Linked DNA regions of Drosophila melanogaster. The protein of the gene in region 2 interacts with the protein of the main gene of each other region in a pairwise test. Each region holds a gene or a part of one and is shown on either strand. Other genes may lie near its edges.

What was found.
Region 1: the proteins of CG12470 (region 2) and alc interact in a two-hybrid assay, tested with the Drosophila melanogaster proteins (2 studies listed by BioGRID).

Annotation. Positions count from the first base shown.
Region 1 is NT_033778.4:9,132,325-9,140,230, forward strand, and holds alc (alicorn), read right to left. Parts: upstream 5,610-7,906; 5' UTR 5,276-5,609; coding exon 4,628-5,275; intron 3,672-4,627; coding exon 3,441-3,671; intron 3,382-3,440; coding exon 3,235-3,381; 3' UTR 3,051-3,234; downstream 1-3,050. Other genes in the region: Hydr1 (alpha/beta hydrolase 1), read left to right, coding at 830-1,023, 1,275-1,446, 1,518-2,729; CG8788 (uncharacterized protein), read left to right, coding at 7,745-7,906.
Region 2 is NC_004354.4:303,844-311,714, reverse strand, and holds CG12470 (uncharacterized protein), read right to left. Parts: upstream 4,032-7,871; 5' UTR 3,823-4,031; intron 3,626-3,822; 5' UTR 3,508-3,625; coding exon 2,920-3,507; 3' UTR 2,780-2,919; downstream 1-2,779.

The sequences.
Region 1 (7,906 bases), on a different chromosome or scaffold from region 2:
TTCATAGTTGCACCAATCGTGTTCTACAAAACTATCGCATAACACTGGGATCAACAATATTGTTGCTCGCTGAACGTGTTCATTTTTATATCACTGAGGAACGCGTCCATTAGCCAAGTTCCGCACCACACGGGCGCCTTTTTAAATTAGTCTGGTCTCACTGCAGTTGCACCGTTAGCGTCCCGCGATTGTGTTTATATTTTGGTAGTGTGCACCCTTCTAGGTTTTTCCCGAGTTTCTTTGGATCCCCAACGCTTGCCCCAAGGTTCCTCTCTCGACAGCGATTCGAAAAATGCACACTATTTGTTATAAGGTTACATAAGTGCGTGTAACCGAAGCAGTTTGCCTCTAAGAGATTGCTGTACTCCGATCTACGTATTGCAGCTACTCGGCGAGAGCTGCGTATAGTACACAATAGTTTCGATTCCGTCACATTTGGCACGGTAATTACCTGCACTCACCGACCTAGGCAAATCAATAGAACACCATTATCCGCCCACCACCGCCACCACTACCCAATCCCGCCCATTGTTCTGTTAGTGCACGTGACGACGCCGCTGGGAAGTCCGAGCCCAACAACGAATGTCCGGGGTCAATCCAATAATTACAGATACTATCGGTCTGCGGACTCAGTTTCGATTTGTGTCACAGCCGCGTCACAGGTTTATTAAGTCGCCTTGTCTAAACTTGTATTTATTCTTTTATTTTGCCCTCTTTTTAAGGTAAGCACACATAAATTGTGGAACCCAGCACAATTGACAGAGCCCCCGGACACAAACCATTGGTTTAAGCACACCAAGCTAGTAATAGTCTTTAGTTTAGAGCCGCCATGCTGTGCGCCCTTGTCCGTGGTCCAACCACCGGCCACAAGTTGGTCCTGTATCGCTCCGTGGCCGAGCTACTTGGCCCAGTGCACGACATTCGCTGCCTGTCCGCCGGAAGAGGCGTCTATCAGCGGCAGTCCCGGTCGCAATCGCAGTCGCAGTCACAGCTCCAGAACCCAGCCCACCGTCCAGACCTGCTGTGAGTGAGCGATAAGCGCCGTGAACGAGCCAAGTGTACCTGAACCCGCCCCGCCTGCACCCTTTCGCGGCGTATTTTGTCTGCCTTTGATACGGACGACCACTCGTTCAATCAGAATCCATATGCATACATTAGCGCGCGGCGATTAGATATGCCTCCTTGTACTTATTAGCCCGAAATAGCCCATTCATGCCGCTAACAAGTCGCGCTGCGCTGTAATCATTTCATTTGTGGCTTGTTCGTTTTTTCAGCTCGCTTTCCCGTCCAGCATTAAGTTCGAAATTGTCTGTGCGGAGCCTTCACTCAGAGAACGACGCCATGTTCTACTCGATGTACGCCTACCTGTCCAACCTGCCGCGCCTCCATGTTTTGGGCATGGCTGTGGTGGCCTACGTCGTCTATTACCTTATCCAGGTGGTCAAGGTGAGTGTAACATCAGCCATTGCATCACGTCCGGTGCGTGACTAATCACCGCATTTACCGTCTAATTGCAGCGACCGATAATCGCATGTTCGGACGGGCCGTTCAAGCAGTATCTGATCCGGAAGGTGCCGACGCTGGAGAACAAGTACTGGCCCACCTTTTGGTGTGTGGAGAGTCGTGCCCAGACCGTCCTTGCGAGCCTGCTGCGCTCCAAGAGTCTGCCGCGCGTCAACTACCGCCGTGAGATACTCTCGCTGAAAGATGGCGGGGAGGTGGCCCTGGACTGGATGGAGGAGGGCTGCGACCAGAGTGCTCCATGCATACTCATCCTACCGGGTCTGACCGGTGAGTCGCAGGCGGAGTACATTAAGTGTCTCGTCTTCGCCGCCCAGCAGGCTGGCATGCGAGTGGTGGTGTTTAATAACCGCGGACTCGGCGGCATAGAGCTGAAGACACCGCGTCTCTACTGCGCCGCCAACTGCGAGGATCTGTGCGAGGTCGTCCAGCATGTGCGACGCACTTTGCCCGAAAAATGCAAGCTGGGAGCCACTGGGATCTCAATGGGCGGCTTGATTCTGGGCAATTATTTAGCCCGCAAGAGCGACGAGGCCAGGAGCTTCCTTTCGGCTGCAAAGATAATATCTGTCCCTTGGGACGTCCACAAGGGCAGCGCTAGCATCGAGAAGCCAGTGATCAACAGCCTGCTGGGACGCCACTTGGCTGGAAGCCTATGCCGAACCTTGCGCAATCACCTGGACATCTACAGGGATATTTACCAGGACTCTGACATTGATATTCAGCGCATTCTGCGCTGCAAGACGATCAAAGAGTTCGACGCGCTTTTTACGGCTAAGCAGTTCGGATATGCCCATGTGAATGACTATTACTCGGATGCCACGTTGCACAACAAACTCGATCACATTTCGGTGCCGCTGCTTTGCCTGAGCGCCGCCGATGATCCGTTCCAGCCACTGGATGCCATTCCCATCAAGGCGGCCAACCAGTGCACCCATGTGGCCATCGTGATTACGGCTCGTGGCGGGCACATCGGCTTCCTCGAGGGCTGGTGGCCGTCCACCAAAGACCAGTACATGGGCCGCCTCTTCACGGAGTACTTCACCAAGGCGCTGTTCGACGAGGATGGCGAGTTCCAGCACACGGCCAACAAGATGCACGAGCGATTCTTGGCCAAGCAGACGGTGGCGCTGGCCTCCTCGTCACCGGTGCTGTTCGCCAAGAAGATCGACGCCGATCAGTTGGACCACAAGGTCAAGCTGATGTGAAGCTGGTCGGTCGGTCGGTCGGTCGGTCGGTCCGCTAGTCTAGTTCAGTTTTTGTCCAGTTGAACACGTAGATATACGAGAATGTTTGTATTCCGATAGATTGCCGTCGGCGAAGACTCTTGTACACATGTGATATGAAACGTTGATCAAAATCCAAAGTGTTGTTATACTTATATACAGCGAACAGGGAACCAAATTATCAGTCAGTCAATATGCATAGTTGCTTAAATTACTCTTAGATCGTGACTTTAGTGACATATCAGGTTGAAATTGCAAATAAGCTGTACGATTCGTAGTAAATTCAAATACAAATTACAAATTATGACACAATGCAATAATCTTATATTTTTACAAGTTCCGTATATTTATAACTAATAAAAATACAACGCTTAATAGAGAGAAAACTAAAACACTTTTACTCATAATAAGGTAAATTTGACAAGCGGGACGTGGTATCCCTCATAAAAACCATGTTCCTACAGCTAAAATACCAATTGCGAGTTGCCTAAATGGGCTTGTACAGCAGCGTGGTGACGTACTTCTTGCGATACCTGTGCGTGGCACTCAGGACCATGACGCCATCCTTGATAGACAGGGCGTACAAGTGGTTAAGCATCACGTGGTTGGGTTCCGGCAGCAGAGTGGGTTCACACTGAAACAGAATAGGGTAAGGTTACGGTCGGTAGCTCTCGAGACAGCGACAATACCCACCGATAGCGGTGTATCCTTGTTGAGGATGACCTGGAGCAGATGGGGCGGCAGAACGGGCGGGCCAGATACCTTCTCCCAGGGCTTCACCTGCGGCACCTCCTGCGAGTACTCCTTCTCCGCATAGTTGGTCACGTTCTCGCTGTCTTTGGCTAGGGCCTGGAACACCTCGAAATCGGATTCTCGCACGGACACTAAGTTATTTCTCTGTCCCTCGGCGTTCTCCACGCTTTTCTAAAATAGCAAACCGATAAGCTATAATCAAATTGTCTGTAACAATAGTTTGGGCAATTGGGACAATATCTGCAGGCCTCGGGTTGAGTTCAATAAAACTCATGAAACTTGATAGCTGAGTTTGCGATAAAACAAAAATTGGGCAATACTTCATGAAAATGTGGCTGGGCAATGACTGCTTTCTATAATTAATAACGTACTGTTGCTACTTGTTTCGAGCAATTTTGAATTATATACAACAATTTGGCTTGCTACATATATATATAATACAAAAATTTGTTCAATGGTTTGCTTTCGTTTTGCTTACTAATTTAAATGTCAGATAAACTACATTATTTATTAGTCATTAAAACCATTATGGTTTAAATACGTGAGCTTCGTGAACTATTCTTAATAAAGATTTAAAGTCTGTGCATTTAGTAATTCATTTCTGATTGCTTTTCGTCTTCATGCAATTCTGCAACTATTTTAACATTGCGAAGTAGGTCATATATTCTATCACAGTCCTGAACTTTGTTATCCAGAAAAATATTTTATCTAAGAAAACGTTACTATTCCCTTAAATCTTTTCTATAGTTCAAATTGTTCGCCTGATAGCAATGTTCAATGGTCACTTAGATAAACTGTGTCCACAAAACTAGCGACATCCAACCGGATTTAGTAGTAATCTACAAATGGGTTTTATCGCAGTTTGCTCCCTTAAACTTGTAACTTTAATTGCATTTGTTATTTGCGAAGCATTTGAACGGGGTTCCTCAAAAAAAAAACAAAAAAAAAGCTAAAGCCGGATGAGCATCTCTGAACCCAATTGAAATCCACTACGATTACTGGGAGACTTCGTTTTGTTTACGGCGATTACACAACCCGGGGCGAAAATCGGTAACTGCGTCATTCGGGCGCCCGAATCAAAAACACTGAATAGCCTGCTGCATATATTGATTTTCCGCCCAACTGACCAGCTTGGGATCGTGCTTCCACTCGCCGTCCACGCAGAACTTGTACTGATGGTCGCCCTCCGGCAGATCTATGATGGTCACGAAGTTCTGATGGCTGCGCACCATGGCCATGGGCTTCCAATCGGAGAATGTGCCCGAGATGGTGACGTTCTTGCCGCCGCCGTCCCACCGCAGAACTGTGGGCAGTGCCGTCTTCCGGATGTCGTCCTCATCGCCGGTTAACTGAGATCCAGTCGCTGGCTCCGCTCCTACCGCTGCCTCCTCCTCCTCCTCGTTGTTGTCCATGCTGGAGTGGTCTCGGGTAACAGCTGATGTCGCGTCGTCGTGTGCGGTGCCTCGTCTAGTGGATCCAGTTCCAGTTCCCGTGTAGTACGGGTCGTCGTCTTCTTGCGACGAGCCCTCGTTCAAGACTGCCGTATGTTTTTTGTCGAACGAGAAAGCTTGGCCTCCGCCGCCTCCTCCTCCACCCCCCGCAGCTCCCACCGCCCCCGCTGCAGCGCCCAGAGCTGCTGCGCCAGCACTCCCGCCCTGTCCCGCTCCTCCTCCACCAATCGAATCGCGGAAATGTGCGGGAGAGCTCGGCGTGGACAAGTCGGTCGACTTGTGGCGCTCGCGTTGCATGTGCACGGAGGAGCTGGCGTTGCCCATGCTTATTGCCGTACTCGCTGGCTCGTCGGCAGGTCACGGACCGAGTATAATGATTGGATTTGGACTGGGTTCGACTGCTCCCTTTGTTTGGCACTTTATACTTCGCTTTAAAATGGACTCGCGTTTTTCGTTGGATTACTCTAGTACTCTGATCACATCACCGTTCGTGGCTCGAAGTCTGTGTGTTGTATTTGGCATTTAGTAGGCAGAAAACTGCATTATTTAATCGTTTGTTTCGTAGAAAAATTGCTAATTATAAACATTTACATATATACACAGGCAGTATATTCGCAGTTCCAATTGGCGAGAGCACACGCAGGGTTGCTTTCCCGTGAGTTCAAAACAAAGAAGTTATCGGGCGACAGCACACAGTGTGCCGCCCTGGTCTTAGCAGCTGTGACCGTTATCGGAGCTGCCACTCGATTTGAATTTATAGTTAGGTTGAATGTTCTGAAAATTAAAGTGTCATGGGTTTCCAGCACCTTCAGAAAGTTAAGATTACGTGGAATTAGATTAAAGTGGCAGCCACTCATTAAAGATTTTTAAATTCATAGCAACATTCTTTCAATTCTTATCATTTCAAGACAATAGATTGCATCGGTGAATTGCTTGAGTTTAATCACTATCCCAAAGCTATCAACCAATTAATAAATAGGTTAATGAATCATACAATTTATCTATTTATTTATGAATTCAACAGAATTAATTCCACTGAATTATCGGCTGACAAATCCAGATTAAACGGGTAAAGAGTGCTTTCCTAGTCGACTATATTCCTGTAAATGCGTAAAACGAGCATTACAACAGCGGAAAACTGAGGGTGCAAAGTCCACGACAATCAACATGCATCGGAGCACAATAAAAAGGCAAAAGTGGAAAGGAAGACTAGGCAAGACCGAGAAGAGTGACAAAGAGCGAGGGCGGAAGTGCGGCGAGGACAAGGCTGATCTGCGATGAACACCAGGTAGAAGGTAAGTGTATCCACCGCACAGATTTAGCCAAAACAGTCCAAAACATATGTATGAAAGCAACTAAAAGAAACGGCGATCAAAACAAACAAATGTTTGGTACCAGTGTACCACAGATGTAGAAACCAGACGCTTTCCAGACTATGGCAGCACCCCAAGAAACTCTTGGAAATACTACTCATTGCTACACCGCACATATGACGTACACTTGGAGAAACAAGCACATTCCAAACAATGCGTATGTACCTAGTTATTTCATTACAAGGAATTGAATTTAATGTACCCAAAGTTAAGCAGTAGCATTTAGTATTTATGTTTTCTGGATATATTAACTGAATGAATAGGAAACTTGTACCTAAATCCATTTCAGATCCGTGCCATTTCTTCCAGTGCACGAGCGGCTTTCCCATGTGTGTGTGCTGCGTGGTAGCCACTCACACAGCGGCAAAACACGACGCCTTCGCATTTAAAATTGATTAAAACTAAAAACACTCGATGCCGACGCCGTGCCTTGTTTCGTTTTCAGTGCGATCGCAGACATTGTGCAAAACGGTTCACAGTTCTCTCCTCGCGACTGCAGGTGATCGAGTTTTTTTCGTTTGAGTGCACTAAAAAAAAACAGAGCAAGCGCAGCAACTGGAGTTGGAGTGAAGCCCCAGGAGTCACGTCCCTTTCGAAGTCGAGTGAACTAAGCATTTAAGGTAGGTCAGTTGGATGGTTGGCTACAATGGGTTGACCTCGCCCGGTTATTAGTCTCGGTTCACTTTGCATTTGGTGCTCTTCAAGGTCCGCAGCCCGCTTATCTGGCCACGTCCGACTAACCCATTGATCGGAGCCCAGAAGGCCCGGCGGAGTCCCAAACAACTTAACTATTTCCCATGGCTCCCGAGGGCGGCGCGTGTTTGCGCCGATTCTCGACCACGTTATCAGCGATCTGCTTAGCCAGTGAACTGTTCTGAACTGCTAATTGATAATATGTATGCGGCAACACCTACATATGTACATACGTATGTGTATACTTACATATTTAGATTCGAGTTGAAACTGCGTCGCATTTGCCACTTAGTTGCCGTTTTCCCAAAGCCTGTTTGATCAGCCTACTCTTCACACATACTCCCCTCCGGATGAAGCACAAAGAGCCTCCATCGGTGAAAAAAAAAAACAAGTATGAAGCTCCAAGATGGCCACTCCACCTGGAGCAGATACGATAATAATAGATGTATACCAAGAGCTTATCAATAGCCCGACTTGTTTTCCAACCGCACCTTAAATAAATTCAATTTGGATCGTACGACGGCCGGAGGAGAAGATCCCCGCACTTGGAAACAGCTAGAGGGGCACGAGCCCACCGAAAAAAACAAGATTTCAGACAAAATAAATAAATTATGGTGTCTTCGCATATATATTTTTAGCTTTATCAATTTCGGCCGTTTTTGCGGAGGCTCGACGCACATACACTCAGACGGCCAATCGGAACCAGATTTGTAGCGAGGGTCGCACCATGGATAGCGTCAAGTCGTTCTTCGCCGGCTCCACCAAGGATGGCAGCCTGTCCAGCAACAGGCAGGCCAATGTGCCCGGCTCCTCAGTCGCCGGCCGCTGGGGTCGCAGCTGGAGCACCAGCTCCCAGCACACGGATCCCGAGCCAGGAGCCACCAGCTCG
Region 2 (7,871 bases):
TGCTGCATAGCGATAGCATTTTCACTTGCTGGCCAAGCCAAATCCATTTGGCGGTTCGTAATTATGAGTGCGGCAGCAAAAGAAGCCCAAGCTGAATCTACATAGCTGTATAAACAACAAAATCATGGAAATTGAAAACATGTGTCACCCTGGACACTGCACTGGTAAAAACTTTTGAAATCTACATTATTTATTAGTTTACAAAACCAGCAATCAATATATATTTGGTGTTTACAGTTCGTCAGATCATTCTGTTTTGGCTCTGTCTTTCTTTACTTCCAATCTATCCTCATATATCATTCGTCATTTGTCGATTAATTTATTTATTATGCCAAGATCTGCTTAGTGCAAGTGAGAAGAGAAGAAACAAGTGAAATGCGCAACACGAAAAGGAAAGCGTTAGCGAGAGTTGCAACTGCATCTCATGCCAATGTAATTCGATTGCACTGAATCAAACGAGTTTCCCGTTGATCAAAAGCGCGTAAAGTGCACCCCTCCCCCCTGTGGTGTGGCTGGTTAGCATTTTTCACAATGAGCAGTTATTGAATTTCTTCGATAATATGTTGTATATTCGGTGTTAAGGCGGTTGCTGTTGTTGCTGATGTTGCTTGCTTCCTGTCATTTGATTTCATTTAGCTAATATGCAACGCATATGAATTTTTATTACGTTGCAGCAGTTGATTGGTAATTTCGTTGCATCTAATTAATGATTGTTGTTGACACAGCAAAAAATTGGCCAACAAATGTTTGCATAACATTGTTTTTACTTAAGAGAGGGTGAAAACCATTGTTTTTGCATACATCGAATAATGAATATTAATTGATTTAAAATCTAGAACGATTATTTGGTTTGTTTTAAAGAAATCCAAAATAAATAAAAACTTATCTAAACATTACACAAATATTCACATAGTAAGGAAGGGGAGGTTCATGCCAAATATATATAATCATGTCAGCGACTGACGCAAGATGATGTTGCAAACTGGCAACTAAGCAACAACAACATCAACATCCAGCATCGAGTGTCATTGACTAATGTTGCATGCAGCGTATAAAGCTGGTAAAAGGTAACCGCAATAACCAAAAATTCAATCAACGAAAACCCAAGACCGAAACAATAGAAGCGAATTTGCTGTTTTTTAGCAAAGCGCAAAAAGTTTTGGAGATGATCTAAGTCCAGGCCACTTATAAAGAAAAAAGATAATGGTATTGGTATAAAGGAATGTATTCATAAAACCTAAAATGAAATAAAAAAAACTAATCATTTAAAAGACGAAACCATTTTTTGTGTTAGTAAATATTATTATTCGAGAAGTAAAAAGTTTCGAGCGGGGTCATCGGTGCAAGTACATTTGGGGAATTTACTTGAGCTTCAAAAGGGGAGATGACAAAGTTTTTGAGTCTGCAAATAGTTGAGGGTGAGGTGTGCATTTATATAAATGGTAGGCTGACATTTGCCGACAACGTGAAAGGGCAAGTATATATATTTTTCGGAAAATAGATACCTTCGTCTTTGTCTGTCGATCTGCGACCCATGTTTCCCTCGATTTACACTGGACAAAAAAAAGTACTAGCACAAATCTTTATGGATGTTCGTCGAGAATATACATTTTTTTTTTTGGGGTTAATAAATGGTTTAGTGTGCACTATAAACTTTTGGAGTTAAAATATTATATATTTAACTCTATTTGCGTGCCTCAATCTCGATCCTCCGATCGATTGGGTCTTAAAATGCCGCGCAGCCATACAAATACGCTACTCGTTGTAAAATGTTAAATGGGACATGGCTAGTCAAGGAGTTTGGATAGTTAAAAGGTACTCACGGGAGTTAAGGAGGGGTACACGAGTTATGGTTAGGGAAACCGGACACTTGACACACCGGCGAAACAGTGGCCTAACCAGCCGAGCCTTCTCTCGTAGCCCGGACAAATGTCAAGTAAATATATATTGCTCACAAATCGCATCCACTAAAAAATAACAATATATAAATTATAAGAAGTAACGGTCTGTCTAATAACCTATTATATTATATATATATATAATTAATTAAGATGTTAATAAAAATGTAAGAACTTTAAACATTATTTCAGAATTAATTAAGATGTTAAAAACAATTTAATTGTGTTATAATATAAACATTTTCAAATACTGAAAATCTGTTTGAAAAATAAAATTTTTCAGTTTAACATCTCATAATCTATCAACAAGTCGACTACTTTTATAAATATTCAAATATCGTGTGGCCGGCGCTTGTTTGGCACTTTATTGCAAATGCTTTGCGGTTTTCGCAATCCATGGGCCTCCAAAAATTGACCCCTTACTTGGAAGGTTCACCTTGTTTCTATTGGGTTTCTTCTTTTTTCATTTTGTAGCAAGCAATAATAATTTGAGGGATTTGTTGTGCACGTTAAGCTGGAATCCTCCGCTTCATTCTTTTGAGCCGAATATTAGCAAAATGATGCACATGCATAATTTCCATACCACTCAAATGAATGGAATTAATCGAACGCTAATCGACTTGGAATCTGTACTCTAATTGACAAAATTCTCACACCCTGTAAGTCTCTAATTTTTGATATTATATTTACGATTTGTATTTTATCCACAGTAATATTGCAATAATTTATGTCGACTATTGTTATTTAACTTCTTTTGATCGTACGCTAACCTCAACTTTCCCAGCAAAACTCTACAAAAGGATTAACTTCGACATGCAAAATAAACGCTTTGGTATATCGCTATCACCGCTATTGGTATTAGAGCTATGCAAATTTGTTTTAGTTGCTTTCAAAGAGATTATTATTTATTGATAAAGATTGTGCCAAAATATGTTAAATGTTTAGAGCAAAGCTTGTCGTCCAGTATTATCCTCGTTGTGTATGCGTTGCCCTCTTTTGTTAGAAATCATATGGGACCTATTTAAGCGAATCGCATGCATTTTGCCTTTTGGGTGTACGTTACAGCGCCATACTCCTCCACAATCTGATCAATGGCAATCTTGTTTAGATTCTCCAGATATAGACGCGTCTTTCGAGACTGGATAATATAACTAATAACGTCGTGCATATTATCGAAGAAAAGAAATCCAGCAGTTCCGCAGCTGAGGTCTAGATAGCGGAACCTATTAACATCGCAGGTGCATCCATCAAACAGGAAGTAAATAAAGTCATTATTGTTGTGATACCGGAAAACCACGTAGTTGCCCCAAGGGGCCATCACGAAAACCCGCTCGGCACACCGGAATCCGGCTCTCAGGAGCTTGCAAATGCTATCGTAGCATCCATTCTCAGAGCCCACCACCGCCATTGTTTCCGGAATACGAAGAAGAGCCGGGTAATGATTCGGTTGAGCCCGAAGGACATCGTGGGGTCCGCTAGACTCTGGACAAGCGTCAAGTGGTTGCATCTGCTTTGGTGGTTCCGGACACGGAGGACATGGTGGCGCTTCGATGGGAGCCACAACTGCGGCGGGCTTCTTGCCCTTCTTTCCTTTGCCCTTTTTACCCATGGTTAATCGAGTCTACGATCTCTGAAAGTCGCGCAACGCACAAATTAGAAATGCCTCTGCGTTTGCTTCCGATCACTTGAAAATAGTTAACGAATCAAAGTAGCATATATCCTGACGTCTGAAATACGCATTTAAAAAAAAAAAATATTAATTCTTAAGTTAACCCCAACCAAATACTCAGTAAACACTGTCCCACACATATAGAATTACGACTTCCAATTGTGTGCGTATGTCATGTGAAACCAAATGCAATTCGGAAATGGGGAAAAAATTTCAGTAATATTCGGAATATGCCGAGCTTCCAATAAGACTCACCAACTAGCTAAACACGATTTGATTTTGGTACACACACCGTTCTCTTGTATTCCTAATTTTAAGTTTGGCCAAAAAAAAAATTTTGTAAATCTGGTCGAGAGCGAAGTTAAATTTTGTACAGTTTTTTTTCCGAGATTTTTTCGTGTGCTTTGTGTGTTCACAGACAATTTTACTTCTGATGTTTTGCCATATGGCTGGTGATAGCCAAGTCCAAATACTGACAGTTTCAGCAAAGCAACGTGATCTAAAAAAAAGTAAGAAAGCCATTCTATTTAATAAACCAACCCAGAGTAGGCTACGTTTGGTGCTCGTAAACAGCTTAATGCATATATAATTGCCAGTTCTTATTTTATTCAATTATCGTTGTATCACAACTTAAGGGACAACTAAATCTACTACTTTCCTTTATCTGCTGGAAGAAGAAAAATATGGAAATATTAAAAAAAATATCTGATACGATAAAAGTACCATTGAAATACGAAAAACGCGTATTTATTAATTAAACATTATCTAAGCTTCAAATGATGGCCTTTTATGAATGGACCAGTGGAATAAATCTCAGGTTTTTGGCTAAATGATGATGACACCACCATTATAATCGCAACCATACTAACCTAATGGGTTACATTTTATGGCTCACAGCGGTATCAAACGAATACGAATCCAAAAGAAAACACTCCTTCGATTATTGCTTCATCAAAAAGAAATTCTCAGCTAATGGGGTAACCCAACCTGTCATGCCGGCAAACGTGAGTCGGCAGGTTTAGGATACCCATATGGAGGAAGATATCGCTCTCTCCCACTCTCTATATACAAATGTGTGCAATCTTCAATGGTATTATTTAATCAGTTGCTTTAATGTGGGATGATTAGATAAGTACTAGAAATAAGATTCATTTACCGCATAAGTACTTTAACCTACATACAGTTTAACCTTTATACAGTTCAAATTATACTTCTTATACCCGTTACTTGCAGACTAAAAGAGTATACTAGATTCGTTGAAAATGTATGTAACAAGTAGAAAGAAGCGTTTCCGACCATATAAAGTTTATATATTCTTGATCAGTATCAATAGCCCAGTCGATCTGGCACTGTCCGTCTGTCCGGCCGTATAACGTCGACATCTCAGGAATTATAAAAGCTGGAAGGTTTATATTAAGCATACATATTCTAGAGACAGAACCAGCGCAAGTTTGTTGAAATATTACCACGCCCACTCTAAGGCCCCCAAACCCCCCAAAACTGCCACGCCGACACATTTGAAAATTTAATTTTGTAAATCTATCGATATGTTATCTACATATATCCAACTCCAACGCACTTCCTCTAGCGGAGTAGTAACACGTATCTGTAAGCCGACAAGATCGACTGAATCGTTTTCTCCTTGTAAATTCACATGGATATGTTGCCTTATACAGATGTCCAAGTCCTTCTTAAAAAAAAAAACGGCATGTTAAAAACGTAAAAAAGTACATGCTCATAAAATTGAGCTTTTTATCATAAAATAAAGATTTTTAGCTTTAAGCCGCGAAAGCTTAGTTTGGAGTACTTAAGCTTTAAGGTGCTGAATAAGTTTGCAGAGGAGAAATTGCGCATAATTTATCTCAGAGAGCGGAGTTATTTAGCACCTCTCCGGTAGCCTTCCCTTTCTTTTTTTATGACTGAAATTAATCTTCATTCACTGCAGGAATATAACAAATGGTTTGCTGATTGTTTACACATGGGCTATCCTGCAGTTGTATCGGTCAAAATAAAATACAGCAATAAAATAGAGCAATCGAAATTTTGATAACTGTGGTACCAAAGTGCAACAACCTAAAAGTCGACGCCAACGAGTCTAGGGCAAACAAAAAATAAGAACAAGGTCCAAGGCATTGGGTCAAAAGCCAAGTAAAAAAAACAAATAGAAGGAAGGGAGAACGTTATATACAAGAAACTCGACTATCCAATACCCATTATGATAACATAAATCAATAAATAAAATTCAGAATTATGTTTTATAAGTATGGGCAAATTAGGGCGGTGCAAAATTTGTTTGGCTAGAAATTGAATTGGATAGAAATTGACAATACAAAAAACTAAATTAAATTAAAAAACTGCTTTCATACGGACAAAGGGACATGCTCAGATCTGGGCTAGTGATCCTGAGGAAGGTATGTATATGTATGTATGTATATATAAACGTCATAGGGTCTAAAATGCTACAACGAATCTAGAATACAATTTTACTCTACGTGTAAATAAAAAGCGGGAATATCAACGGGAAAAATCTCTGACAAAACATACTGTAACCACTTTTACCTGGGAAGCCTACACTCCCCCAATTCTGTGAATCTCCCTCCTACCCGCTGGCCAGATGACCAATGGCGAATAGATTGGGCTAGACCACGGGACGACGACGGCAAAGTGCCTAAAGGGACTTAATCTGCTCGTTCATATAATCGCTGTCGCCAGCATTCCACGCTCCTAAATAATTATTTGCATATTTATAACATGTGTGCCAGGCCTTTTCTTATACACCCGCTAAAGACATGATCCGAAAAAAACTGCTCTCACTGGAAAGAAGAAAACATTAAAACTAATAATAAATGTTTCCCAAGTGATTATCTTCCTATAATTTCTTTCACGTGAAAACTTATAAAATCAGACAAAATAATAAACAAAAAAGCGTTTCTGACCCATTACATCTATATTCTAGCTCAGTATTGATCTAGTCATGTTCGAATGTCCCTCCGTCCGTATGAAAAGAACTCGAAAACTATAAACCGAGAAAATGGACTATAGCGCTCATGTTCTTTTTAGAGTAAATTGTCTGAGACTGTTGACAGGAGAATTGACTTGAGATGTTACTGTCTATGCTCTTGTTTTTGACGCTTTTAGTAAATTCAGCTGGGCACCTGTTGAGTGGGCGTGGCTTCCTGTTAAAGTTGTGATGACAGTGACGACATGTCACCGGCTCTTTGACTGCTTCAGCCTCTGTCAAGTTGTACTTGTCACGCCCATGAGTCCGCGATCTACATATTTTATTTCGTATTGCACAGCATGCAGAGCTTTTGAATTTTTATATGGTATGGACCGATGGTTTTGTACCTATGTACTCTTTGTTGACTATTGCTTTTCAATTCCCAGCATTACCTTTACAAACTTTTTTTACAACGCCCCATGGCTATGAAATTTTATGTGTTCATTTTTTATATCATAAAAGCAAAAGTTAACTGTAGTAATTTAAACTTTTAAACTAAAAATTGAAGCATAGGGGGAACTCTATTTTTAAGAACCTCGACTATCCCAATTAAAAAGAAATAGATTTGCTTTAACTTTTCCATGAACTATTTTACTGGGCTGGGTAAGTGCTACAAAACAGAAAAAACACAGTTACCCAATATCAAAAGATATAACAATATGCGTTGTGTATATATCTTAGTAAAGAAGTTTTTATTAAGAGGGATATATGAACAGCGTTCAATATATTATATAGATTTTTAGAGGTTAACTTAAGAATAGGGTTAGGTGTTACAATGAACTTTATTGCTTGCGATGCACGATAATTGCAACATATTTCCAGGGGAATCGAGGATTATTGCTGCCAGCTTGTTATTAATCATTAGCTTTTGTTGCCAGCAAAACATTAAAAAACAAAATCTGATTGAAAACCAACAAGGCGCAAGGCTGATATTTTTTTTTTCAAATGCGCCCAAGGGATTACACAGGCCCAGAGCAGAAAATAAAAGAAAAATCGAGGGGGTGAAAATAGTGAAATACAATGAGGACACTGTGTCTAAGTATTCAACAACCATGGTGAGCTTTAGTCTGCTCTGGATTGTGCCTAATCCTGTTCCTTGTAATGTTTCTGATTCATATACGTCCAAACACTTTATTTAAAGAGACCCCCAATGCTTTATTCGGCTAGTAATCCTGATATTGTCAGTCACGTCTGCCAACTATTGAAACATCACACAAGCCACCAAATTACTGCTCTCTTCCATCCTTTTGTATTGATTTACATAATAATAATAATCGCCAAGTAAGTTACTTGTAGAGATTGA